Canis lupus familiaris: one gene and its partners. The protein of the gene in region 1 interacts with the protein of each later gene in a biochemical or structural test. Links are inferred from orthologs where the notes say so. Each region holds a gene or a part of one and is shown in the gene's direction. Other genes may lie near its edges.

Region 1 (3,996 bases):
CAAAGTACACACTTGCTCCCCATTATCGCAGCCCCATGAGCATGTGTGCCCTTTCTGAAGGGCATCAGAGGGAGAGTCAGAGGATGAAGCCACTTGTCAGTGATGCTATCATTTAATCACTGGATGTCCATTCCTGATGATTAGCCAAAGCCCTGAGATTCACACTGATTCATGAAGCAAACATAGAGAATGTAAAATCACCTTCCTTTATGTCACACTGTTCATTTGAAGACTCTTCACTGTTGAGTGATTCTGCCGGGAAATCAGTGTGGGAAATGTAAACCCTCTGCTCACTCGGAGTGCAGAGGTTTGCCTGGGTGTGCATACATTTCTGGAAGCAAAACCCTGGAGGCTGAGACCTGGGAGACCTGTGTCTTACCTCTTATCAGCCCTTGGATCCCAGGCAAACCAGTTAACCTCTATGGGCCTCTATTTCTTATCTCTTGAAGGGAGGTTTTGGGGGTCACTGGGCTTCCTTCCCCCCTTTATGGCAGAGAAAATAAAATGGCAGCATATACTGGAGTGTGCCCTACTTTGTACCAAATCTGAGTTTTAATCCCAACTGCCTCTCTTACTGGCTGTATGACTTTGGGGAAATGCCTTTACCTTTCTGATCATAGGTTTCTTTCTGTGAAAACTGGCTGTGAAGGACTGCTGCGGGAGTAAGGCAGCCCAGTTCAGCGCGGGGCAGCCCCATCCTGGCCCACCTTCAAGATAGGCTCCTACTAAAGCACAAGATTGTGCCTAGAAGGGACAGGTGGGTGGCTCAACAGTTGAGCATCTATCTGCCTTCGGCTCAGCGCATGATCCTGGAGTTCTGGGATCGAGTCAAGCATCGGGCTCCCCACTAGGATCCTGCTTCTCCCTCTGCCTATATCTCTGCCTCTCTCTCTATGTTTCTCATGAAAAATAAAAAAATAAAAAAAATAAAAAATAAAAAGATTGTCCCTACCAAATGGCTATTTGGTATCTCCAGGGTCCTCATCCCAGACATAGGCTGCTTGGTGACCCAGCCACTGATTTTATTGTGAACCCTAATTTCTCCAGCAAAGAAACATTTTGAACTGGCCATGAGCAGAGTGACTTTGTCTGAGAAGCAAGCAAGTGGCTGTTGTTCCATCTCCTACTCTGGGCTGACCTCCTCCTACCCAGGGAGGGGGAGGGGAAGGAGGGTTGGGGAAGCCTGATGTCACACAGCCCTACATAAGGGCCTCCTTTAGGCTCCTGCGGGGCGGTTTGGAAGCAGCTGAGGAATGAGTTAGGTCCTGGTTGTGGGATTTTTTTTTTTTTTAAGTCAGACACAGACACAGCTGTTGAGCAAAATGCAGACACCACAGAAAACCCAAAGCCTCAGACCCTTCAAGCAGAGGAAGAGTTTAGGTAAAATTCTAAGGGTAGCTGTCTGGGTTGCTAGGGAGAGGGAAGAGGATACAGACTTCTCCTGCTGTTTACTTATTCTTTTATCTTTGAAATATTCACAGCAACCAGACAAGAGGAAGTTGCCGGAATCCGAGCAAAGTTCCCAAACAAGATCCCGGTAAGACCGCATTACGCTTTTTGAAAAGGAGTATACTCTGTTCCTTGAGAGAAAAAAAGAAAAAATAAGAAGAAGAAAACAAAACAAAACAAAAAAACCCCACTGTCTCTCCCTGTTCTAATTTTCTAAGATACTGAGACCTCTGAGTTACATTCTTGGGGGTTGACCCTCTCGACAGGTGATAGTGGAGCGCTACCCCAGGGAGAAGTTCCTGCCCCTACTGGACAAGACCAAGTTCCTGGTCCCACAGGAGCTAACCATGATCCAGTTCCTCAGCATCATCCGGTAGGTGACAATGTGCACGCTGGGGAGTGTGCTAGGTGAGGCTTTTTCTGTTTGCTTTGTTAATTGGTTTGGTTTTGAGGAGGGGGAGAATCTGTAAGAGAGGGAAAAGATTTCCTTTGCGACTCACCTCTTAGATTCTGTAGGGCCCAGAAAAGATGCTCTGAGAAGTAATTTGACTTAAACAGGCGAGGAAAATCCCACAGATAGCAAGTTTAAAGAGAGTAAGAGCCGCCAACTTTTCTAAGAAGTTTTGGAAGTAGTCCTGGCTCTGAGACTAGTCCAAAAGATCTGTTCTTCCACAAGCTGTTTAAAACTCAGTCTTAAAAAAAAAAAAAAAAAAAAACACTCAGTCTTCATTTTCCCAGCAGACACACGGTACCTTTAAAGTGTCTGTGCCCTGGAGGAATGAGGACCTCTTCCAAAGGCAGGCACTCCCTTCACTGGGAGGGAGGACAGGAAAGGTGTCCCCAGACATGTTCCTCCTTTAGGTTAAGGCACAGCAAAGAAAATGGGGCTATTTTCAAAGCTTAAGAGGGGTAAGTACTGTCACTTGACACATGGATTCAACAAAAATGATCTGAGAGTAATTACCAGAGGGTAATTCTTCATGGGGTTGAAAAGTCCAGAAAGGCCAGCCCTTGCAAGCTGCATAGCTGCTTTTTCTTTAAGAATTCATTATGAGTGTGTGTTTGTCTCTGTCTTGTTTGTCTTGATGAGTTATTTAAGAGGATCTTGATATCCTCTCCTTGGGGAGCTTATGTTGGCCCCGTGTGAATGGAAGTGCCTAAGGGATGACCAGTGTTAGGATTATATCCCAACATGTTGATGTAACAAAGAGTGACCACCCCTCACCCACCTCCCTTAGAAACAACTCTCTGAGTTCTGAGAGCCATTCTTTTTCTCCTTCCCAGACAGAGGTCATCCTTTGTTTTCTACCAGCCCTAATCCCCTCTCTATGCCAACATTTAATGCTCCAGAATGTTTATTGAGCATCAGTGATGTTCTGGATTCTTTCTAGGCTGTCTTTAAAGCAGTGAACAGAATAGACAAAAAAAAAAAAAAATCTCTCCCCAGAACCTCTTCCTCCAGAGGATGCCACAACCCTCGTTGAAAGATAGTATAGCAAAGGACAGGAGGTGGGTGTGTGGACTGTGTGGAGTGTTTCCTGCAGAGCTGAAGGCAATGCACTGGTCCCCAGCTCCATCCATTCCCGTTGTAGAACACTTCTTTTACCCAGACAACCATGCAATTATCAAAGCTGAAATCTTCAGGGTTATTTTGGGAGAGGTTATCTGGTTATAAAATTAATCAATTTCTAGCCACCTGTGTCCCAAAACCACATGGACCTAGCTCACCTGAAAGTTCAAATCTCTGAGACCAGAGTGGGCAAGCTATGCCTACCTCTCCAAGTAGAGCAAATGGAGGTGTGCTGCAGGGGAGACAGATCCCTTACCTGAGTGTCTACGCTGTCATGTTGTCCTCCACTCCAGGATGAACCAGGCCTCAGATTGACCTTGACATTATAGCCTGTCCAAATGAACTAAGCTGCTTCTCTATCTCCTTGAGGTGGGGGGAGAGATGGCAGAGGGAGGAAAGGGTAGTAACCTTTCAACATTTCATTCCAAAGCTATTTAACAATGAGATGCTGGGAGATACTGTAATCACTTTTGTATGTCTGGGGCTGTACATACCTTGAGTTTGAGAGCAAAGAGGGCTTAGCATTTTTGTGTTGGTATGTCTCCTAGTTAATGATAGGATGGCCTTACTCTTGGTGTGGAGTGCAGGTGTCTGCTTTCAACAAGCCCTCCCGGGTAATTGTCAAGTTTGAAGACAATGCACTAGAGTGGAGAGGTGGGCTCCTTGGGTAGACATGTTTGCCGTGGACAGACAGAGGTAAGCCAGGGCTTGGGTCAGGGGCCCATTCCATGCCCAGTTAAAGTTTTCCCTTCCTGCCCCCCACTCCTCCCCACCCAGGAGCCGCCTGGTCCTTGGGGCCACTGAAGCCTTTTATTTGCTGGTGAACAATCGGAGCCTGGTCAGCATGAGTATGACCATGGCAGAAGTCTACAGGGACTACAAAGATGAGGACGGCTTTGTGTACATGACCTACGCCTCCCAGGAGATGTTTGGCTGCTTAGGGTCGGAGCAAATCCTGCCGTCCTCTCCAGTGCATG
Region 2 (3,500 bases), on another chromosome or scaffold:
GGCTCCATGCACCGGGAGCCCGACGTGGGATTCGATCCCGGGTGTCCAGGATCGCGCCCTGGGCCAAAGGCATGCGCCAAACCACTGCGCCACCCAGGGATCCCCTGAAGAGGTTTTTTTTAAAGATTTGCTGATGAATGTTTAAAAGATTACCTTTTTCATTACAGCTTGGGTTTAGATTTTAACAAATGATTTTTTCATAAAGTCATAAGAACAAGCCAATCTAACGACTCATCAGTAAGTAAAACTTTTAATTAAAAACAATGAGAGGCGCCTGGCCAGCTCAGTCAGTAGAGTATGCAGCTCTTGATCTGGGGATCGTAGGTTCAAGCCCCATGTTGGGTGCAGGGACTGCTTAGAAATAAAACCTTTAAAGAAAAAAAAAACTGACCAGAGTAGACATTCAGTTACAGAATTCCTAACTTCTTAGGCATGATGATGGGATTATAGTTTTCAAAAAGTCTTGGTTTTTTTAAAGACTTAATATGCTCAATTTTATGGATGAAGTAATAGCTGTCTGTCAAAATAATCCAATAGCAAACGGGTATAGCTATAATAAGATTAGTCATTTGTTGATGATAATTATGGAAGATAGTTGATGGATCCTTAGGAGTTCATTGTATATTATTCATTCTTCTGTATATGTTTAAATTTTCCCGTAATAATTTTTTAATTAGATTACTACAGTTTGGTTAAAAAGATAACTGGGATGCCTGGGTGGCTCAGCGGTTAAGCATCTGCCTTGGCTCAGGGTGTGGTCCCTGGTCCCTGGTCCTGTCTTGGGCTCCCCACAGGAAGCCTGCTTCTCCCTCTATGTTTCCGCCTCTCTGTGTGTGTCTCTCATGAATAAATAAATAAAATCTTTAGAGAAAAAAAAAAAAAAAAACAGTTAACTACTGTCAGTCTATATTGGGGGGATTAGGTGGAGGCAATACAGATGTATAGATGAAATGAGGGTAGCCTTGAATTATTTATTGTAGTCATACGTCCATCACTCTACACTTTTATGTATGAAATTCTCCATAAAAGAAAAGAAAGTAAAACTATTTAAAAAAATGAACTTGGATGAAAGGTGTAGTTTCTTGGCTAGTGTTTTAGCCTCTAAATTGTCCAAACTGATCTAATAGGGAACCTGGGTTGCTCAGTTTAGGAAAAGGCTGCTTTCCCAAGAAAAAAATGTAGAATGTCATTTTCAAGGTATGAGATTGTAAAGTCCCTGAGGGCAGAGATCTATGGGTCTTATTCTTTGTATCCTGCTACTAGCAGATATTCAGTAATATGTATTGAATTAACTAATAATAAGTTCCATAAAATCCTAGAGGATTTTACAAATGTTAAATGATTTCTGTGAGTGTGGCCAAAATTTACAATGTCTCAGCAAAATTTACTAGTGAGATTTGGGGGTGCTTGGGTGGGTGTCCGTCTCTTGATTTCAGCTCAGGTCTTGGTCTCTAGGTCGTGGGACTGGTGGGACTCCCTGCTCAGCGGGGAGTCTGCTTCCCTCCCTCTTTCCTCCCCCACCACATTCATACTCTCTCTAAAATAAATAAATCTTTGAAAAAAAAAACACAAAATAAAAACAGATTTTGGTGGTAGCCACCGAACAGATTATAAATAGCAGAAGAGGGCAGCCCCGGTGGCGCAGCGGTTTGGCGCCGCCTGCAGCCTGGGGTGTGATCCTGGAGACCCAGGATCGAGTCCCACGTCAGGCTCCCTGCATGGAGCCTGCATCTCCCTCTCCCTCTGAATAAATAAATAAAATCTTTAAAAAAAAAAAAAAATAGCAGAAGAGCAGAGGCACTTCTTCACTGCAGTGTCTTCCTAGCCTAGGCTGTATAGATCTTCACAAGCATTTGTTGAATGGCTGTTTATGCAGTTTATAGAACTGTCTCTAATGTGTGTTCTGTCTTTCCTCCATCTCTTAACTCTAGCCCCACAGCATGGAACCACAGGTTACTCTGAATGTGACTTTTAAAAATGAAACTCAAAGCTTTCTGGTTTCCGATCCAGAAAATACAACATGGGCTGATGTTGAAGCTATGGTAAGTGTTACTTTGTTTCTCCATCCTTTAAGCCTACTTTTCCCAAAAGATAGCTGTCTTTGCCTGTGTTGTTTGATAGCTCTTATATTTACCTTTTCTAGGCCTTTTGGAAAATTACTTTTGATACGGTTTCAGTATTCATATAGGAAAAATGCACCACCACTATCACCTCCCTCCAGGGCACAAATTCCTTAATTTGCAGCTGGGACTTAGGAAAGCTGTTAATTTTAGAAACAGTGTGAGAAATGAATTGGTGTGGGCCCCACCCTAATCAGCCCCAGAAAAATGTTCTCCTGCCTGAGAGCAGTTGTGTTTCTGTGGTTTGTGAATCACCCAGGGTATGATTTATGTTTTGCAAGCTGATCATTTTTTATTGCTAGGTCAGAGGTCAAGTACCTGAATGTTTTGCAGTGGGGTGCCTGGGTGGTTCAGTTGGTTAAGCATCTTAGCTTAGGTCTTGTGATGTCACGCTGGACTTGGATCCTACTTAAAAACAACAACAACAACAACAACAACAACAACAAAAAACCTTGAGCAGAAAAAGAACTACAGGTGCTTAGCAGCTCATCTGTTTTGTGTTGTTGTCAATGCCTTTCCTCCTCTTGGTTTGCCCTTTGTACTCTTCTATTTTTGTTTGGTTTGCAGTAGAGTGAATGTTTTACTTCCTGTGTAACTGTGTTTATCCATCAAAACCTTTTGGTAAAAGCCTGCTTTTATTTGGTTATGTGGAATGATAACTAAAAAGGAAAAAAAAATGATGAGGAAACGTCACAAGATGATCTGATCTAGTTCTGTCTTCCAGCAAATATTTCTTTATATTGTTGTAAATAGGTGATTATCCAGAAAGTTTGGCCTCTTTGTCAAATGACCTGAATATCAAACACAGTTCTTTTTCTAGTAGTTAGATTAACTGATAGTTTGCCTTCTTTATTGTAAATTTTATTTTTTTATTTTTTTTTTCTTTATTGTAAATTTTAAATTATGAAGGGGTAATACATGCCCATTATAAGAAGTAAGACAATCCAAACATATATAAAGAAAAAGTTACTATTCCTCTACTCCTTCCTCCTTTTCATCCACTGTTCCCACATCTCTGGGGTAACCAGTGCTAACAGCCCTGTGTAATACGTAGGCACACAGATTTCGTCCTAGGATCATACTATAAACATAATTGTGTACCTTATTTTTCCCCGAACAGTATATTATATACAGTTCTCAATCAATAGATAAGGATCTGAGCTCATCTTTTTTTTTCTTTTAAGATTTATTTATAGGACAGGAACAAGAGCACACAGATGGACAGAGGGAGAGGGAGAAGCTGACTCCCTGCTCAGGGCGGAGCTCAATCCCAGGACCCTGGGACCATGACCTGAGCTGAAGGCTGACACCGACTGAGTCACCCAGGCGTGCCCCCCCCACACACACATACACTCCAGCTCATCCTTTTTATTTTATTTT
Region 3 (4,065 bases), on another chromosome or scaffold:
AAAATACAACTTGGGTGTAGTACCATGTGGTGTAAACAACTGAACTATTTTACTTTTTACTTTCCTATGAATGAGCCAGTATATATTTATTACTGGAGTTCCAGCTATAAAATTCAGGTAAGGGGTTTAAATATACCCTAGAGTATTATTTAAAAATAAATTTGTTTCTTTCAAATAGAATACCAAGCTTGGTCTATGACATTTAAGGGAGAAATTAAAATATTAAACTTTTATTACCTAGTAAACTGAAAATAAAGTAAAGGTTAAATAAATACAAAGCAGAAAAAATATATATACAAAATCACAACCTCTAGGAGGACAAATAGTCTACTGTTCTCTACTGTGGGAGCTTTATCAGCAGTAGTAAGTAATTCCACCTCTAGGGCAAGGCTAGTACTCAAAAATGTAAACAAGTATGTACTTTGTTTATACAAAGAAATATGCAGCATGGTTTGTATTTCTTTATAGGTATCAAACAGCTAAATGGATTGTTTCAGCACACCAGTAGGGGCCAGCAAAGAGCTCTTAGAGTTTTCAGAACAGATTTGGCATTGAGATATGTTTATTTGATGTGTTAAATCCTTTTTAGACTTCTTTACTTACCACAACACTCTCTTAAGTGAATGAATTGCAGAGACAGTGGAATAAAATATCTTGTGTGCTCAAACTATATTGGGGTATAGTTTTTCTGTCTAATCTGCATATATTTTTAATGGAATGTTTGCTTAGGCTATTTCTTGGCAGAGTTTTAATAGTCAAAATATAAATGGCATCATTTAAAGACTGTACTACTTGGCTGGAAAAGGCCTTAAAATTACAGAAGAAAATGCTTGGTGACAGCTTCTCTTAAATTTTTCTTTCTCAGACCTATGCTCAATTTTTCAATAGTATTACTAGGCTAATTTTGTGTTTCTATCCTTAAGCTTTCACTTTTTATAAGTAGTGTTTTGGAAGCTAAAATATTTATCTATTTGATTTAATGCTTGAGTTTTAATTCACCCCAGAGTTTTGGTACTTCCAAATTTATACAACTGTTTGAATTCACTCATTAAAAAAAAAATTAACAGAATATATGCCTTTCTACATTAACTAACTTGACAAGATTCCTAGTTTGTCTACTGTTTGGAAATTCAATCCTTGATTTGATACTCAATTACATGGGGTTTCATTCCTACCAACTTCCTGTAATTTTATCCCTATGGGTAAAAATATTAGTGGTCAAACTCTGCTGGAGAAAGTATAGACGCCGTGATTCACATAGTTAAATGTTCATTTAGTAGAGCAGGAGTGAAAAAATACTGTTTCAACTTGAAATGCTAGAAGATTGTTGTTCTTGTGTTACTCATTCATGCAAATTGGAGAAGGTATAATTGAAACAAGGTTGGCAGTGTTTGAGGCAGTGCGCTGCAGCTGAGCTCAGCTTAAAGGGCGCTGGAAATCAAGTGCTTTGTAAGTGAAGGCATTTTGACTACAAGCGATTCAAAATATTTGGAAACGTCAGTCTCAGGAATGGGTCGTCTTTTTCTTTCTATGATATCTGGTATCTAAGGTTTTACTTAGGATAAAGACTACTGCTTAAGAGCTCTTTTAGGCACCACAAATGATTTTTTCCTTCGATGCAGTGCAGCTGCTTCTAGCCTGTCTACCGACAGAGATCTTTGTTATGACTTTCAGCCCTTAACATGTTTGGAAATGAGAACAAATGGCACAAAGCTTACGATTGCACTTTGCAGCCAGAAGAAGCAATACTTATCCTTTGTCAGAAACCTCCGGAGATGATTTGGATAGCAATGTTCACATGTGCTTCAAAAGACCAACACGGATTTCAACGTCTAACGTTGTTCAAATGAAGCTGACTCCTAGACAGACTGCACTAGCTCCGTTGATACAGGAAAACGTTAACTCTCAGGAAAGATCATCTGTTCCTTCACCTGAAAATGTTAATAAAAAGAGCAGCTGTCTGCAGATTTCACTACAACCAACAAGGTACAGTGGATGTCTTCAGTCTGGCAATGTCTTAGCTGATGGTGATGATGCTTCATTTACATCTGTCTTTAAGGATGGCATTTACAACAATGCTGTGGCTGAGAATGAGCTGAATGCTGTGAATGATGGTAACCTTGTAAGCAGTTCGGCCATTCACAGTGGGAGCCTCAGTAACTTTTCCACCAGTGAGAATGGGTCTTACAGCAGCAATGGTAGTGATTATGGATCATGCACAAGTATCACAAGTGGTGGTTCCTACACAAACAGTATCATCAGTGACAGCAGTGGTTATACTTTTCCACCAACTGATGATACTTTTTTTGGTGGAAATTTATCTTCTGACAGCACCTCCAATAGAAGTGTGCCAAACAGGAATACTACTCCATGTGACATTTTTTCAAGAAGTCCAAGTACCGTTCCTTTTGTCCAGGATGACTTGGAGCATGGACTAGAAATTATGAAATTGCCAGTGACCAGGAACTCGAAAATTCCACTAAAACGTTGTTCATCCTTAGTCATTTTTCCTAGGAGTCCTTTAAATACCCCACCGACTTCTCCAACAAGTACAGACGTTCTTCCAAGCAAAGGATCCTATCAAACCTCACACCAATTTATTATTTCTCCTAGTGAAATTGCCCACAGTGAAGATGGTAGTAGCACTAAGGGATTTCTTTCAACAGCTGTCAATGGACTTCGGTTATCTAAAACAATCTGTACTCCCGGAGAAGTGAGAGACATACGACCACTTCACAGGAAGGGTTCATTACAAAAGAAAATTGTTATTGCGAATGATAGTCTGAATCAGAATGTCCGTGAAAAGTCGTCTGAAGGGTTTTCTTGTGTTTCAGTGCATTTCACCCAACAAAAAGCAACTACATTAGATTGTGAAACAGCAAGTGGTGATTGCAAACCAGAGATGTCAGAAATCAAGCTTAATTCTCATTCAGAGTGCATTAAGCTTATGCAGAGGACATCTGCATGTTTACCATCCTCTCAACACCTAGATTACCAAATAAATATCAATGGACAGTTGGAAAGACCAAATTTACAGATAAACAAAAACCATGCTATTTTACAGAGAAGTGTTTCATTGGGAGGAACTTACCCAAATGTTTCCTGTTTATCCAGCCTCAAGCACAATTGTTCTAAGGGGGGACCATCACAATTACTCATAAAATTTGCACCTGGAAATGAAGATAAAGTTGATAACTTATCAAGAGACAGTAACAGAGATTTCACAAATGAACTATCTAATTCTTTAAAGCATTCTTGTAAGGTAAGTTTCCTTTGGTCTTGGTAATTGTTAATTTATACTAGAAAAGCTTTATGAACTATTTGGTTAAAATATATTAGAACTTAGCAAGTGTTTTATAGTCATAATCTTTGTATTTGTAAATCTGAGGAAACTTCAATAGTTTTTCACTCTCTGTTATTTTACTAGTGTCAAAAATATGCATTAAAAAAAAAACTCTCTAAAATGATTTAAACCATGAAACATTTCTGTAGCATGAAAACAAGCTTTAAATAATAATTTATTTCATAATATTTTTACCTTGGTATATTTTTTTCTTCAAGTAATATAGCATTTTAATGTCTAACTCCATATTTTATTCCTACTTTCAAAAATGTTCATTTAGCATTCTCCCCTCCTTAATCAATGTGAAATAGGTAAAATATAGAATACTTATTTAAAATACTAAACAATAAAAAGCCTACATAAAAATGTGAAAATCTTTTCACAAATGAACACAGAGAAAATGTTTCTCTAAAATATGCGTATTTAGTAGAACATTGATAAAAACTATTATGCTGCTGTTTTAAAGCACAGGAAAAATAACTGGCATTTGCATTTGTATATACCCTTAACCACAGGAATTTTGTTTCCACCCAGTTTTCCTTTAGCTACCAGTTAAGATTGCCTTCTAAAATGTAACTTAGTCTTTCAACAGTATTGAATTCTAATTTTATATTTTTTGAATTTGGTTTCAATTGCTAGGCATTTCCCAAATACTCCTAGTTACCTTATTAATTTGTTATTTTGGTAATTTTGTTTATTAGTCATTTAACTCTAATGTATCT
Region 4 (4,125 bases), on another chromosome or scaffold:
AGAATATCATTCAGTGATAAGAGAAATGAGCTTTTAAGCTGGAAAAAAGAAAGACATGGAGCCACCTGAAATGACTATTGCTAAGTGAAAGAAGATGTTTTTAAAAGGCTACACATTGTAAATAATAATAATAATAATAATAATAATAATAGGCTACACATTGTCCAGTTTCAACTATACGACATCCTGGGGAAAAAGTTAAAACGAGACAGCAAGGAAAATCAGTGGTTTCTGGGCGGGCGCGGGTGGGTGGGAGGGCAGGGAGAAGGAAGCATACAGGGATGGAACACAGGGAATTTTTATGGCCGTGGGGGCTGTTCTGTAGGTCACTGTAATGGTGGGCCCGTGACCTTACACCTTCTGCAGGACCCTCGCAACTGCACCCAGGAGCGGAACCCAATCTCAACAGCCCGCTGTAACCCACGATGACCCGGTGGCACGCACCCCCGGAGGCGAGGTGTCGGCCAGAGGGGGGACCGTCAGGGGGTGCGGGGGGTGGCGGCTCCCCGTGAAACCCAGCTCGATCTTGGGGCACCGGAAACTGCTCTTAAAAACCAACTCAAAAAAAAAAAAAACCCAAAAAACAAACCCAACTCAATCGCTAAAAAAGAAAAGAAACAACAACAACAAACAAAAACACCCCCGACTTTAAATCCAGAAGACACAACGGTGGTTGCCAGGGAAGAAGGGGGGGGGATGGGCGAAAGGCGATGGAGAGGACCCTTATCCTGATGAACACCGAGCAACCCACAGAATCACTGAAATCATACACCTAAAACTAATCTTTGGGGAAAGGAAGAAAAAAAGAATGTATTACAAAAAGGCGGGGGCGCGGAAGGGGCGGCATCTCTGAGGAAAACCTGCAGGGCTCTCGATTTTTTTCCCCCCCACGGGCTCCTACATCTCAAGAGGGAGCGCTCGATGATCTCCTAAACGAGCAAAGAGAAGCTAAAGGGCACCCGACCTCCACCTCACGGGCGCCGCGAGAGTCTTTATCAGCCTAACCCGCGACTGTGCAGTCCGAGCATCCTTATTTAACCTACGCAATTCACGTCGTCGTCGTCACACGGCGCTGGGACACACCGTCGTTATTCACATTAAAAAAAAAAAATAAAAAAAAAAAACCGTCCCGAGCGCGGAGCCCAACAAGGTGGCAGATACGAAAACCAGGAGGGCTAACCCGGATTCCAGGCTCAAAGTTCTAAAGCATAAAAGCGAACGGCCGAAAATTAGCGATTTCTAATTCCGTCGGCCGAAAACAATGAACGGCCGATAAATCTCGCGATGCCTATGGAAACTACCACTCCCAGCGTGCACAGCGGCTCCGGGCCATCCGCCTATCCCCTGGAGTCTGGAGGGGCCCCGGCATGCCTCGGGGCGCGAAAGGCAGCCTGGGAGCCGTAGTTCCGCTGGACGCCTACCGGTATTGCCAGCGCGGCAGTGGCGGCTCTCTCGGTTCCGTCCAGCCGGGTTCTGTAAGGCGAGCTGAGGCGGAGAAAAGGGCGCGGAACTGGAAGCGGGTGAGTCAGGCGCTGGCTACGTGATAAAGGGAGGCGGCACTGCGGCATACGGCTGGATTAGGTAAATGGACCCGTGCTGCAGTCTCTCCGGAGACGCCGCGATCTAGCGCCCGCGCGAAGAGGGCGAGGAGGAGCCCGCGCCCGGTCCGTGCACCCGTTCTCGCCCTCGTACCCCGCCGCCATCTCCACCATGCAGTCCCGGGAAGAGGCTCCGCGTTCTCGCCGCCTGGCCAGTCCCCGCGGCGGCAAGCGGCCCAAGAGGATCCACAAGCCCACGGTCTCGGCTTTCTTCACGGGCCCGGAGGAGCTGAAGGACGCGGCTCACTCCGCAGCCCTCCTGGCGCAGCTCAAGTCCTTCTACGACGCGCGGCTGCTGTGCGACGTGACCATCGAGGTGGTGACGCCCGGCAGCGGGCCCGGCACCGGCCGCCTCTTCCCCTGCAACCGGAACGTGCTGGCGGCCGCGTGTCCCTACTTCAAGAGCATGTTCACGGGCGGCATGTACGAGAGCCACCAGGCGAACGTGACCATGCACGACGTGGACGCCGAGTCCTTCGAGGTGCTGGTCGACTACTGCTACACGGGCCGCGTGTCGCTGAGCGAGGCCAACGTGGAGCGCCTCTACGCGGCCTCCGACATGCTGCAGCTCGAGTACGTGCGGGAGGCCTGCGCCTCCTTCCTGGCCCGCCGCCTCGACCTGGCCAACTGCACCGCCATCTTCAAGTTCGCCGACGCCTTCGGCCACCGCAAGCTGCGATCCCAGGCCCAGTCCTTCATAGCCCACAATTTCAAGCAGCTCAGCCAGATGGGTTCGATTCGGGAAGAGACTCTGGCGGATCTGACCCTCGCCCAGCTGCTGTCCATCCTGCGCCTGGATAGTCTGAACATAGAGCTGGAGCAGACCGTGTGTCATGTGGCCGTGCAGTGGCTGGAGGCGGCTCCCAAGGAGCGCGGACCCAGCGCTGCGGAAGTCTTCAAGTGTGTCCGCTGGACACACTTCACTGATGAAAATAAAGATTACCTGGAGGGGCTGCTGACCAACACCATTGTGAAAAAGTACTGTCTGGACCTTATCGAGGGGGCCCTGCAGATGCGCTATGGTGACAAGCTGTGCAAGGCTCTGGCGCCCAAGCCAGAGACCAGCAGTGGCAGCTGTGGCGGCGGCAGCAGCAGCAGCGGTGGCAGTGGCGGCGGCAGCGGCAGCGGCGGCAGCGGCGGCAGCGGTGGTAGTGGGGGCAGTGGGGTTGGCAGCGGCACCAGCAGCAGCAGCAGCAGCAGCTCCTCTGTTGTACCCATAGCTGAAAACCCACCCCAGAGGCTGGGCGTGTGTGCTAAGAAGATGGTGATCTTCTTTGGACATCCTAGAGATCCCTTTCTGTGCTGTGACCCATACACCGGCGATATTTACAAAGTGCCCTCGCCTCTGACCTGCCTTGCTCACACCAGGACTGTCACCACCTTAGCTGTCTGCGTCTCTCCAGACCACGACATCTACCTGGCCGCGCAGCCCAGGAAGGACCTCTGGGTGTACAAGCCAGCCCAGAATAGTTGGCAGCAGCTGGCCGACCGCCTGCTGTGCCGGGAGGGCATGGATGTGGCCTACCTCAATGGCTACATCTACATTTTGGGTGGGCGAGACCCCATTACCGGTGTTAAGTTAAAGGAGGTGGAGTGCTACAGTGTCCAGAGAAACCAGTGGGCACTGGTGGCTCCGCTACCCCATTCCTTTATATCCTTTGATCTAATGGTCATCCAGAACTATCTTTATGCCCTCAACAGTAAGCGCATGTTCTGCTATGATCCGAGCCACAATATGTGGCTCAAGTGTGTTTCCCTCAAGCGCAATGACTTTCAGGAAGCCTGTGTCTTCAATGATGAGATCTACTGTATCTGCGACATCCCCGTCATGAAGGTCTACAACCCAGTCAGGGGGGAATGGAGGCAGATTAACAATATTCCCCTGGTGTCGGAGACCAACAACTACCGGATAATCAATCACGGCCAAAAACTGTTGCTGATCACCTCTCGCACCCCACAGTGGAAGAAGAACCGGGTGACCGTGTATGAATATGACACTAGGGGAGACCAGTGGATCAACATAGGTACCACCTTAGGCCTCTTCCAGTTTGATTCCAACTTCTTTTGCCTCTCAGCTCGTGTTTATCCTTCCTGCCTTGAACCTGGCCACAGTTTCCTCACTGAGGAAGAAGACGTGCCGAGTGAATCTAGCACCGAATGGGATTTAGGTGGATTCAGTGAGCTGGACTCTGAGTCAGGAAGTTCAAGTTCTTTATCTGATGATGATTTGTGGGTTCAGGTAGCACCTCAGTGAAATGCACAGGATCAGCAGAGTTTGTTGTAGATAGGTTGAAACACTAAGGTGTTTTTACTGCTTTGGAAAGTGTCTTAAAGAGATGCCCTTTCTCTTTGCTGGGAAAAAAACAACAACAACACAGGTTGATTGATTTCAGGTTTGGTTTAGAAAGGGTATTGTTTGAAATACTAACATAATTTAATGTTAGGGAATTTATACACAAAGAAATCAACCTATTTAATAATTTACTGTTCTAAAAGTCCAGTATTGATTTGATTGTTGGGTATGTTT
Region 5 (3,964 bases), on another chromosome or scaffold:
ACTTCAGGGTTCAACAACGAATGGTCTTAAATTTAACATAACTAAATTTAATGGGGAATATAGTGCTTTGAAAAATAAATCATGTAAGTTTATTACATATGGAAACAATGCAAAAAAGAGGAAAACGACTATTAGACAAGTCTAATTTGGATTAATATTCACAAAGTTCCTTTATTTAACATTCTCTTCATAGACTTTGCTCTAACCTTCAAGAAACCTCTATGACTCTACACCTGGATAATTTCTAATGAAAGCAAACTCATTACATAGCACCTTAGATGATCATAAGAAAGATATTTATATACGGAACTTCATGTTAAATGGTATCCTAAAAAGATAGATGCAGGAAGGGATCAAATCACAATGAGGTCAGGGCCTTCGGAAAAGGTTGGGGGAGACAGGTGACAAGAAGGAAGAGAAACTTTTCTTGACTTCTTTTCTGTGCACCATAATTTGTTTTAGGTTTTCCAGGTGATCCAAGCGAACAGCTGGCAAGACCACAGTGCATGAAATCTGTGCACTGGGATCTCACCGCAGTCCTAATTTTCTTTGTAATCAGACGTAATTATAGCGAAATGTAGTGAGGAGTTTGTCCACAATCAACATCAAACAAGAATTTCCAGTAGTATCCCTCGTGCTGTAGCTACAAACGTCAAACCGGGCGGGCGTAAAACACAGCCCATAATTATAAACAACTAGAGACAGAAGCGTGGGCAGTTAGTGACACTTCAAAAGGCTGCACAAGATGCTTGGGATGTGTCTTTGGGAAATCCAGAGAAGAAATGAGTCAAATAGGATTGGGGCAAAAGCCAATTTTCGGAGGCAGATGCGGAGCGGCAGCTCTCAGCGGCTCCAGGGAAGGTGCATCCCCCGCCCCCGGCCAGCACAGACAGGCCCCGGGTCCTAACTAGGCCTTGGTCCGCGGGTCTCCGCGCCCTTTTTCCGCTCGCAGCTCGGGGGCCGGCGCTTGACTCCGCCTCCGCCTCGGCCTCGGCCTCCGCCTCCGCCTCGGCCCCGCCCCCGCCCCCGCCCCCGCCCCCGCCCCATCAGGGCCCGGCTCCGCCCACCAGCCTGGGCCGCCGCTGGCTCCGCCCACTCTCCCCGGGCGGCGGAGGGGCGGGGCTCGGCGGAGGGGCGGGGCTGGGCGGGGCTCGGCGGGGCGGGGAGGGGCGGGGCGCGGAGGCCGCGGCGCTCGCGAGCGGGAGGAGGATCCGCCGCGGACTTACGGGAAAGTTGGTCCGAGTTCCTGGAGGTTTTCCCCGGGGACTCGGGGGCTCGGCCGGCCGGTGCCCGGCTCCTGTCCTCCCTGCGTCCTTCAGCGCCCACCGGGGCCGTTCCTCTGTCGCCGGCCGCCATGGAGCAGCCGCCAGCGCCCAAGAGGTAACGCTCGCGGGGAGCCGGGAGCCGGGAGCCGGGAGCCGGGAGCCGGGAGCGGAGGGAGGGCGGGGGGGCCGGCGGCCGCGGGCGGGGGCGGCTAGGCCCGAGCTGGCGGCGACCCCTCCGCGGCGGCGGGGCCCGGGCCGGGCGCGTCGGCCGTCGCGAGGCGGGGCCGGGCCGCGGCTGCCCCCAGGCCCGGGGCGCCGCGGGGAGGCCGAGCCTGGCGTCTGCCGCGGCGGCCGGGCCTGGCGGCGTGGGGAGTCGCTGGGGAGTCGCTGGGGAGCGGCTGGGGAGCGGCTGGGGAGCGCCGGCCTCCCCGCCGCGCTCCTGGGCCTCTTCCTCCCGGCGAGTCTCGGAGCCCGGGACGCGAAACGGGGCATGCATTAGGCTGCTCGCAGCCTTCTCGGCGCTTTTGTCCAGTGTTTCTCGTGATACTGCCATTTATTTGAGAAGGCGGATTATTTGTTTCCCGTCGAAGGAATTCCGTAGGAACAGCTACGTAGTGTGTGGACCTTGAGGGTGTACCGCACTGACAGGTGTTCCTTCCTCACCGCCCTCAAGTTCAAAAGTATTTATGGATGCGAGACAGTAGGAATCCTAAATTAGAACCCCTTCCCCGCATAGTGCTTTGTTTTGTTTTCTAGCATATAGAAGTAGTGATGCTTTGGTATTTACTGTTAGTTTGATCTTTGATATATTGGAAGAGTGAGAGTACACAGTAGATACTTTTAAAAGTAGTATTTGAAATGATCAAGCTAAATCAAGGCTGCCCAGAGATATAAATTCATAATGTGCATCTTTTTTCCCCCCAAGAATGAATCAACGTCATTTAACTGGTGTTGTTTAAAACATGTAATCTCAGTCTTTCATTTGTAATTTATAAAATAAGAGTACTAATCTTTCTCCCAGAGAGTGCTGTTGTGAAGATTAAGGAGTTCCTGTGTTCTGATACTTAGAGATCTTTAGACGAAAGGTGATATATTCAGGAACATGGAATAATTAAAAAGGTAGGAACTTTGTGAGCTGTTGTGAATCGTGTGACTAGACATGTGAGCCTTGAGGCCTGGAAACCATCTGTTCAGGTGAAAAAAGGTGGGTGTGTGGAAGGGCGTCCAAAAGAGACTTGTTATCAGAGCCCTTGATTTTTGTCTGGTATTTTGTATTGAATTCTCGTATTGATTGGGCACCCAGTTTTAGTATCTTAGAAGAAAATTGGAAACTTTTTTTCTTCTCTGTTTTGGAAGGACTGTAAGGGGGCCACCTCTGAGATGATGCCCAAAGGTCAAGTTGAACAACTCCAAATTGAAGTAGAAGCTCTATTCATTCATTGGCTGTAAATTATCGGTTTCTTTATAGGTATAAGAGATCCTCTGGCCTTGCAGGGGCTCTAGAAAACCTAGAAGGGCCAGGGGGAGATGTGGGTGGTATATATAACCATTTCATGGTCATTTATACTTTACAAAGTGATGCTTGCACTCCAACAGGCTCATTTTTAGTTCTCTTCAGACAGACTTCGTTGTTCCAGGAAGGCATTTCTGGAAAGCAAGCTATGTGACATTAAGCCCATATATTTGAATGTCACTTAAATTTTTTTCATAGCATTTTCATTTTCATAATATCATCATAGCAACCCTATTACGTAAGTTTGATTACAGGAAGTAATCCTGTTTTGTAGCTGAGGACACAAAGAGTTTGCTCCATGGAAGGCTATGACAGGGATTACTGAAAGTGAGTTTTTGTGTCCTCCCTATTGATTATTACCTTCTAATAATAAAATATGCCATTTTTGAGGTCATTTTTTCCCCCAGGAAATTTGTATATGCATTCCTTTATTTTATTGTCATAAGAAAGAGGAATCATGGCTCTGCAGCTTATTACGCTAGTTCTAAATTTAATTTCTTCATCTGTAAAGTGTGTTACGGGGATTAGAATAGGTCATGTGTAAAAGCACTTAGCACAGTGCTCCATAATGTGTTGAACGACGCTAAATGTTGGTTTATTTTTTCCTTATTAAATGAAACTCAGAGAGGTTAAATAATTTGGTCAAGTGGAGGAGTTGCCAGAACCCTGAATCTGATTGGCTGCAAAGGCTGTGAACCCTCTCATTGTGTACAGTGATACCTCTTTTTAAAAACACTTCTTTTAGCCTTCCATGGTGTGGTGGCCATGTCTTTGTACGATCCTGTGGGCCCTCTGCTTGTTCTTTTCCTAATCCCTGTAAGAATGTTGCTTTGCTTTTCTGCCTTGCATAGGAGCACTTCCTTAGGGCTCAGACATTTTTACATGGTCACATTTATGTTGCTGATGTTCAAGTCTGTATGACCAGCAGGTGTGTTCAGTTGGAATATTTGATATTTTTATGCAGATCCATTCTTTCATTATTCTTTCTAGTTTGTCACTAAGTCCTATTGAATTCTCCATCAAGAAGTCTAGATTCATTTTCTTTTCTGTTTTTCATTTTTGATACTACTACTCCATACCTGGGTTTTATGACCGTCATACTTGATTTACAGCAATGCCTTCCAACTAGGTACTTTAGGGCAGTGGTTTAAAAAATTTTTTAGCAGGAAGGCTGTGTTTGGAGTAG
Region 6 (3,500 bases), on another chromosome or scaffold:
TTTATTTTTTTTAAGTAAGCTTTATATCTAGCTGGGAGCTTGAACCCACGACCCTGAGATCAAGCATTGTATGTTCTACTGATTGAGCCAGCAGGGCATCCTGCTGAAATATTTTTAAGCGTATTCACAGAGTTAAACACTTAACATATAACTTGTGTTTCAGAATTTTAGATTCTGGTTTTATTCTAAATTTATTATTTTTCTGTTCCTCTGGTTTACCTTGTTCTTTGGAACCAAGGTGAGGAGGTTTGTTTGTTTGATATTTGACATCTGAGCTAGAATGGGGTCCATATTTCATACCCCATGCAGTGAATCCCCCCCGGCTTCTGAACAGCAGTGTCACAGAGCAGCCCAGAATGGTGGCGATGGAGGGGCAGGGTCCCAGGGATGGATGGCCCCTGTGATGAAGGTGATGTGATTGTAACAGGTGTTCAAGTCCTTGAGAAATCTGCTTTGAATTGAATGTTTTTGTTTCTTTGAAAACCAAAGTTTCTGGTCCATCGGAGGATCCCAGTGTGAATTTCCTCAAGAATGTCGGGGAGAGTGTGGCGGCTGCCCTGAGCCCTTTGGGTAAGTGGCTGCCTCTGTACTTTGGGAGTGGCAGCAACTCCGAGTGCTGGGTGATGGGTGGCTTTGGGCGGCTGGCCCCTGGGTTGCTGTAGAGGAATGCTAACTGCCGTGCCCTTGTAGCGTCACATAGGCCTTTGCCATAGCGCGGCACTGCAGGCCACTCATTTGAATTCCCTGACAGATTCTTGAGCTTTCCCCATGGAATGAAGTGGAATCAGAGTGGTTGGTTGGGATAATCCCAGTAGGCTGAGCTACGGGGTTGGCCTGTCAGCCTCTGACTGTTCTTCCCACAGAGGACAGTCTGCTCCTCACGTCCACCCTACAAACAGCCCAGGGTTTACTCAAGGACTTGGGTGAGTCATTAGTTGAGAGGCCATTTCTCTTTTCCTCCCTTTTGTCTTTTGCAGTACCAGCCTTTTTGGTGCTTGCCGAGTACCAGGCTTGTGCCCATGCTAGGGAGCAGGGCATGAGGGAGGCGGGAGTTCTATATGATGCCCGGTACCTGGCCCTCAGTTCAGGTGTGAAGTGTCTGGGTGGGTGAACCAAAGCAGGTACCCCCGAGTGGTGAGCCTGGCCCAAGGCTTTAGAAGGCACCTGTTGCATCTGCAGCCCTGACGGTGGTCGCTGCAGGGCTGGGCCCTGTGGCAGTGGGAGTCCATGACAAAGGTGATCTCTGGTGCAGGATTACAGCAGGTCTGTGATCTTTGCCTAGAAGAGCGCTCACCTCTGTGACTGCGGTGGCAGGAAGTGTCCGCTCAGGTGGCCTAGAAGGCCTGTCTGAAAGGATGCAGATGGGAAGGGAGGCAGGACTGCTCTTGCCTCCCACTGGATACCGTTTCAGCTGCCACTCCTCAAGGCCAGGACACAATTTCAAAGCAGCAGTGATGTCCTGGCCTTGCTGCTCCGTGAAATAGCTCAGACCATATACTGTTTTTGGGACTGGAGTCAAAGGCTCTTTAGAGAAAGTGAAAAGAGCGCTGATGTTCTTAGTGCTTTCTAAGGAGGATAAAAACGGAGCAGTGATTAGGTCATAATCGGGAGATAAGCCTATTGCTAAACCCCGGCTGCCACTCGAGATGTGGTGACGAAAGCACGAGGCTGTGTTGAACTTTGAGAGATGGTCCTCTAATGGGTTGTGATTTAGGGGCACGGGAAGCTGTGCAGAATCCCAGGTCAACATTCTGGATCCTGGTAAATTAGTCTTGGGTTGGGCCTGGGATCTGTGTGTTTTGAAGGCTTGCCAGTGACTTTGGGTCGCACTTGCTGTCCATCCTGAGGCCCATCTGCGCTGGGGGCATGTTTTAGAGCTTGACCCAAATTCCCTACACAGGACTTACGGGAATAATTTTGGCAGTGCTCAGGTGTTGTAGGATAAGGGTAAAGGCCTTTTCAGGTCTTTCAAAGTGGATGGAGTTACTTTGTACCAACTCGGGAGGAGCCTAGAGCTGTCCAGAAAAACAAGGGAAGTTTCAGTAAGTATGCCTTTGAGGGTTTCAGTTGAGGAGGGCCACTTGAGGAATTGATTCAACTCTAGAGTTATAGGTATTTTCCTTTGTTACAAGGAACTGACAGCTAGGATGACTCATCCTGCTAACTGCCTAGAAGGGACTGTTCCCAGAGCAGGGGCCCAGAGGGACAGACAGTAATACCTCCCAGAGGGCAGACTGTGTGCAGTGACTCAGCGGTTTCAAAGTAAAACCCCAAGACCTTGTTTGGTAGGTGCCATAAGAACCAGCTGAGCGGGTCTACCATGGAGTCACAGGACTGCTCTGGCTTGGGTTTGTAGTCACTGATTCCTTTACAAAGGTCCTGTCATTTGCTCACACAGAAAAGTTAGACGGTGTATGGGTGTTCACTGTACTGTTCTTCCAACTTTTTTGTTTGGTTGAACCTTTCCTTTTTTCTTTAAAGGTTTATTTCTTGAGAGAGTGCGTGTGCAGGTGTGGGGGAAGGGCAGAGGGAGAGAGAATCCCAAGCAGACTCCCAGCTGAGCACTAAGCTGGACACATGGGGTTTGAGATTAGAACCTGAGTTGAAACCAAGGGTTGGAAACTCAACCTACTGAGCCATCCAGGTGCCCCTGCTTGACCCTTTCATGATGAAAAGTTGGAGGGAGGGGGCATCTGAGTGGCTTAAACGTCTGTCTTTGGCTCAGGTCATGATCTCAGGGTCCTGGGACTGAGCCTCACATTGGGCTCCCTACTCAGTGGGGCGTCTGCTTCTCCCTCTGCCCCTCCACTTGTGTTCTCTCTTGCTCTCTCTCTCTTTCAAATAAACGAATAAATAAATCTTAAAAAAAAAAAAAAGTCGGAGAGAGGATAAAAGGAGAAAAAGGACTTAAATATTGCAGATGGGAGTATTGGTAACTAAGCCTGTCTTTATCTCTGTTTGCTCCTCACTCTACCAAAGTGACAATAAAGGGATTAAACACAAGAGTATAAAGCAACACAGACAAAGAAAAAGGAAAGTCCTAGATGACGAGGTAAGATGACCTTAAACTTTGAAAGACAAGCAGTGGATTTTGAGGGTGGTGAGCAACTGTGTGGAGGCATCAGAGGCCAGGGAATTGGGGGTGTTTGAAGACCAGTCTTCAGGATCCTGTAGCCATTACTGGCTGGTCAGCCGAATGATGGTCCCTGCCATCCCAGGCATGAGACCTGATGGTTAGATGCTGGAGGGCACAGGGCGAGGCGGCAGCCTGAGTGAGCAGTCGGTCCAGCAGGGGCTGAGGTGTCCCTGCTCGGGAGAGGCCATGCGTGCCGGGGCAATGTCCTGTAGCTCTGCCACCCAGGATCCCACTGCCTGGCCAGGTGCCCCATCACCCTCCAGAGGAAAGCGAATCATGGCCCTGGCCCCTCAGGGGGTTCCTCCTGGCAGCCTCCTCTTAATAATGCCTTGCTAGGATCAGACTGCCGTGGTTGCCAGCCATT
Region 7 (3,946 bases), on another chromosome or scaffold:
AAAAAAAAAAAACTGGGGCATGCATGAATACAGAGCTCTGAGGTCTGTTTGTTTAAATCTTTTAATCTACAACTCCCGTTTTTATCTCCTTGATAAAGATAACTACATAATCTTAGGCTGATTTGTGGAGAGGAAGGGAAACGAGCAGTATTAGACCAAAACATTCCTGCTAAAAGGTTACGAAAGGGCTTCTGGGTGGCTCAGCCGGTTAGGCGCCTGCCCGGGGTCCTGGGATCCGGCCCTATCAGCAGGGAGCCTGTAATCTCCCTCCCCCTCTGCCTGTCACTCCCCTGCTTGTGCATTCTCTCTCTAATAAGTAAATAAAAATCTTAATTTAAAAAAAAAGAAAAAAAAGCTTATGAAAGTAATCCTGCTCCCCCTGCGTAAATATTGATTTGGTGAGAGGTCAGCCCAGCTATGCATGTGCCTGAGCTGCCTGTTAGAGGCCTGAGCTGTATGTCAGAGGCCTGAGCCGCACGTCGGAGGCCTGAGCCGCACGTCGGAGGCCACCTCTCAACGCTGTTCGCCAGGACCTCATCCTTGTCCACGACACCCTAACGAACCTGTGGATCTCATTTAGTTCTGAAAAGATGGTGGTAGCCTTCAGAAGAACCCTTCAAAAGAAGCAACAGTAAAATTAAGATTCCTCACACAAATCGCTCACGGCTTCGCACGCGGGCACATTTTTAAAAACGCATTGGGAGACGCCACCAGTGGCTGAATCTGTATATTCCAGGCACTTGCAAGCATGTGATTAATCAGCAGGTATTCGCTGAAGCATCCTGGGACCTGCGCAAATCCACCTCGCTCCCACTCTCACATAATCCTATGAAAACTCGTATCCCCCGCTTTACAAAGAGGGGAAAGTTCTCAGAGAGAAGACCAATACCAAAACGGAGATTTTTTTTTTTTTTAAATAAAAAAGAACATCAAAGCCAAAGCTCTAAAACCAACAAACCCAGATTAACGCTTTTTCGAATTCTGTCAGCTAAAAGTCCGCCCGCCCGGAGAAACCTCGCGATATTCCTCGAACTACCACTCCCAGCGTGCACAGCGGCTCCGGCCCGCCCGCCGATCCCCTGGAGTCTGGAGGGGCCCCGGCATGCCTCGGGGCGCGAAAGGCAGCCTGGGAGCCGTAGTTCCGCTGGACGCCTACCGGTATTGCCAGCGCGGCAGTGGCGGCTCTCTCGGTTCCGTCCAGCCGGGTTCTGTAAGGCGAGCTGAGGCGGAGAAAAGGGCGCGGAACTGGAAGCGGGTGAGTCAGGCGCTGGCTACGCGATAAAGGGAGGCGGCACCGCGGCGCGGGGCTGAGTTGGGTAAGTGCGGCCCCTGCAGTCTCTTCAGGGAGAAGGCGAGGAGAGGGCGAGGAGGAGCCCGCGCCCGGTCCGTGCACCCGTTCTCGCCCTCGTACCCCGCCGCCATCTCCACCATGCAGTCCCGGGAAGAGGCTCCGCGCCCCCGCCGCCTGGCCAGTCCCCGCGGCGGCAGGCGGCCCAAGAGGATCTCCAAGCCCTCGGTCTCGGCTTTCTTCACGGGCCCGGAGGAGCTGAAGGACGCGGCTCACTCCGCAGCCCTCCTGGCGCAGCTCAAGTCCTTCTACGACGCGCGGCTGCTGTGCGACGTGACCATCGAGGTGGTGACGCCCGGCAGCGGGCCCGGCACCGGCCGCCTCTTCCCCTGCAACCGGAACGTGCTGGCGGCCGCGTGTCCCTACTTCAAGAGCATGTTCACGGGCGGCATGTACGAGAGCCACCAGGCGAACGTGACCATGCACGACGTGGACGCCGAGTCCTTCGAGGTGCTGGTCGACTACTGCTACACGGGCCGCGTGTCGCTGAGCGAGGCCAACGTGCAGCGCCTGTACGCGGCCTCCGACATGCTGCAGCTCGAGTACGTGCGGGAGGCCTGCGCCTCCTTCCTGGCCCGCCGCCTCGACCTGGCCAACTGCACCGCCATCCTCAAGTTCGCCGACGCCTTCGACCATCATAAGCTGCGATCCCAGGCCCAGTCCTTCATAGCCCACAATTTCAGGCAGCTCAGCCGGATGGGCTCAGTAAGGGAGGAGAGCCTGGCGGATCTGAGCTTGGCCCAGCTGCTGTCCATCCTGCGCCTGGATAGTCTAGACATCGAGAGCGAGCGGACCGTGTGTCACGTGGCCGTGCAGTGGCTGGAGGCGGCTCCCAAGGAGCGCGGACCCAGCGCTGCGGAAGTCTTCAAGTGTGTCCGCTGGACACACTTCAGAGAAGAGGATCAGGATTACCTGGAGGGGCTGCTGACCAAGCCCATTGTGAAAAAGTACTGTCTGGACCTTATCGAGGGGGCCCTGCAGATGCGCTATGGTGACAAGCTGTGCAAGGCTCTGGTGCCCAAACCAGATAGCAGCAGCAGCTGTGTTGTGCCCACAGCAGAAAACCCACCCCAGAGGCTGGGTATGTGTGCCAAGGAGATGGTGATCTTCTTTGGACATCCCCGAGATCCCTTTCTGTGCTACGACCCATACTCAGGGGACATTTACACCATGCCATCCCCTTTAACCAGCTTGGCTCACACCAAGACTGTCACTTCCTCAGCTGTCTGCGTCTCTCCAGACCATGACATCTACCTGGCCGCGCAGCCCAGGAAGGACCTCTGGGTGTACAAGCCAGCCCAGAATAGTTGGCAGCAGCTGGCCGACCGCCTGCTGTGCCGGGAGGGCATGGATGTGGCCTACCTCAATGGCTACATCTACATTTTGGGTGGGCGAGACCCCATTACCGGTGTTAAACTGAAGGAAGTGGAGTGCTACAGTGTCCAGAGAAACCAGTGGGCACTGGTGGCTCCTGTACCCCATTCCTTCTATTCGTTTGAACTAATAGTGGTTCAGAACTATCTTTATGCTGTGAACAGTAAGCGCATGCTCTACTATGACCCGGGCCACAATACATGGCTGAACTGTGCTTCTCTTAAACGTAGTGACTTTCAGGAAGCCTGTGTCTTCAATGATGAGATCTACTGTATCTGCGACATCCCGGTCATGAAGGTCTACAACCCAGCCAGGGGAGAATGGAGGCGGATTAGTAATATCCCCTTGGACTCAGAGACCCACAACTACCAGATTGTCAATCATGGCCAAAAGTTGCTCCTCATTACTTCTACCACCCCTCAGTGGAAAAAAAACCGGGTGACTGTTTATGAATACGATACTAGGGAAGACCAGTGGATTAATATAGGTACCATGTTAGGTCTTTTGCAGTTTGACTCTGGCTTTATTTGCCTCTGTGCTCGTGTTTATCCTTCCTGCCTTGAACCTGGACAGAGTTTTATCACTGAGGAAGATGATGCACGGAGTGAGTCTAGTACTGAATGGGACTTAGATGGATTCAGTGAGCTGGACTCGGAGTCAGGAAGTTCAAGTTCTTTTTCCGATGATGAAGTCTGGGTGCAGGTGGCACCTCAGGGAAATGCACAGGATCATCAGGGTTCTTTGTAAATATTTTGAAGCACTAAGATGTTTCTACTTCTATGGAATGTATCTTTAAAAGATATCCCTTCCTTTTCATGAAAAAAAAAATGTTGATTAGGACTGCAGATTTGGTTTAGAAAGGGTAACATTTGAATTACTAATGTAATGTTACAAAGTTAAACAGTCCATGAAATCAACCTATATGATAATTTATTATGCTAAAAGTCAAGATTAAAATATGCAAAAACAAACTATGTAACTGATTAGAATGCTTGGTGGTTTCTTGGTTGTTCGAGTATTTGTTGCACCAGTGGATTGTTTTGGTTAGTTTACACTGTTTATATTTTGATTATCTACGTTTGTCTTCTGTTAACGTTTTAATTCAACTTAGTGCCACAAGGAATTTAACTTTTTAATTTTTATAGTAGAAAATTGAACTAGAAATTGTTGGTAGGGTTTTGAAGGTTGTATTTTCTTTTAGAATAATGAAAGTAGTAGATTTCC

What was found.
Region 2: the proteins of MAP1LC3C (region 1) and NBR1 form a complex in vitro, tested with the Homo sapiens proteins (2 studies listed by IntAct). The link is inferred for Canis lupus familiaris from reciprocal best matches to the Homo sapiens genes MAP1LC3C and NBR1.
Region 3: the proteins of MAP1LC3C (region 1) and NEDD4 form a complex in vitro, tested with the Homo sapiens proteins (2 studies listed by BioGRID and IntAct). The link is inferred for Canis lupus familiaris from reciprocal best matches to the Homo sapiens genes MAP1LC3C and NEDD4.
Region 4: the proteins of MAP1LC3C (region 1) and KBTBD6 form a complex in vitro, tested with the Homo sapiens proteins (2 studies listed by BioGRID and IntAct, with this or other methods). The link is inferred for Canis lupus familiaris from reciprocal best matches to the Homo sapiens genes MAP1LC3C and KBTBD6.
Region 5: the proteins of MAP1LC3C (region 1) and STK3 form a complex in vitro, tested with the Homo sapiens proteins (2 studies listed by BioGRID and IntAct). The link is inferred for Canis lupus familiaris from reciprocal best matches to the Homo sapiens genes MAP1LC3C and STK3.
Region 6: the proteins of MAP1LC3C (region 1) and SQSTM1 form a complex in vitro, tested with the Homo sapiens proteins (6 studies listed by BioGRID and IntAct, with this or other methods). The link is inferred for Canis lupus familiaris from reciprocal best matches to the Homo sapiens genes MAP1LC3C and SQSTM1.
Region 7: the proteins of MAP1LC3C (region 1) and KBTBD7 form a complex in vitro, tested with the Homo sapiens proteins (2 studies listed by BioGRID and IntAct, with this or other methods). The link is inferred for Canis lupus familiaris from reciprocal best matches to the Homo sapiens genes MAP1LC3C and KBTBD7.

Annotation. Positions count from the first base shown.
Region 1 is NC_049228.1:33,301,758-33,305,753, reverse strand, and holds the start of MAP1LC3C (microtubule-associated proteins 1A/1B light chain 3C), read left to right. Parts: upstream 1-1,196; 5' UTR 1,197-1,322; coding exon 1,323-1,380; intron 1,381-1,481; coding exon 1,482-1,537; intron 1,538-1,715; coding exon 1,716-1,822; intron 1,823-3,796; coding exon 3,797-3,996.
Region 2 is NC_049230.1:19,825,279-19,828,778, reverse strand, and holds part of NBR1 (next to BRCA1 gene 1 protein), read left to right. Parts: intron 1-1,931; 5' UTR 1,932-1,940; coding exon 1,941-2,042; intron 2,043-3,500. UniProt on the Homo sapiens protein: Ubiquitin-binding autophagy adapter that participates in different processes including host defense or intracellular homeostasis.
Region 3 is NC_049251.1:21,503,088-21,507,152, reverse strand, and holds the start of NEDD4 (E3 ubiquitin-protein ligase NEDD4), read left to right. Parts: upstream 1-1,265; 5' UTR 1,266-1,702; coding exon 1,703-3,262; intron 3,263-4,065. UniProt on the Homo sapiens protein: E3 ubiquitin-protein ligase which accepts ubiquitin from an E2 ubiquitin-conjugating enzyme in the form of a thioester and then directly transfers the ubiquitin to targeted substrates. Specifically ubiquitinates 'Lys-63' in target proteins.
Region 4 is NC_049243.1:9,450,821-9,454,945, forward strand, and holds the start of KBTBD6 (kelch repeat and BTB domain-containing protein 6), read left to right. Parts: upstream 1-1,325; 5' UTR 1,326-1,710; coding exon 1,711-3,852; 3' UTR 3,853-4,125. UniProt on the Homo sapiens protein: As part of the CUL3(KBTBD6/7) E3 ubiquitin ligase complex functions as a substrate adapter for the RAC1 guanine exchange factor (GEF) TIAM1, mediating its 'Lys-48' ubiquitination and proteasomal degradation.
Region 5 is NC_049234.1:1,025,045-1,029,008, reverse strand, and holds the start of STK3 (serine/threonine-protein kinase 3), read left to right. Parts: upstream 1-1,164; 5' UTR 1,165-1,354; coding exon 1,355-1,380; intron 1,381-3,964. UniProt on the Homo sapiens protein: Stress-activated, pro-apoptotic kinase which, following caspase-cleavage, enters the nucleus and induces chromatin condensation followed by internucleosomal DNA fragmentation.
Region 6 is NC_049232.1:2,129,045-2,132,544, reverse strand, and holds part of SQSTM1 (sequestosome-1), read left to right. Parts: intron 1-489; coding exon 490-570; intron 571-863; coding exon 864-923; intron 924-3,500. UniProt on the Homo sapiens protein: Molecular adapter required for selective macroautophagy (aggrephagy) by acting as a bridge between polyubiquitinated proteins and autophagosomes.
Region 7 is NC_049243.1:9,372,852-9,376,797, forward strand, and holds the start of KBTBD7 (kelch repeat and BTB domain-containing protein 7), read left to right. Parts: upstream 1-1,146; 5' UTR 1,147-1,429; coding exon 1,430-3,469; 3' UTR 3,470-3,946. UniProt on the Homo sapiens protein: As part of the CUL3(KBTBD6/7) E3 ubiquitin ligase complex functions as a substrate adapter for the RAC1 guanine exchange factor (GEF) TIAM1, mediating its 'Lys-48' ubiquitination and proteasomal degradation.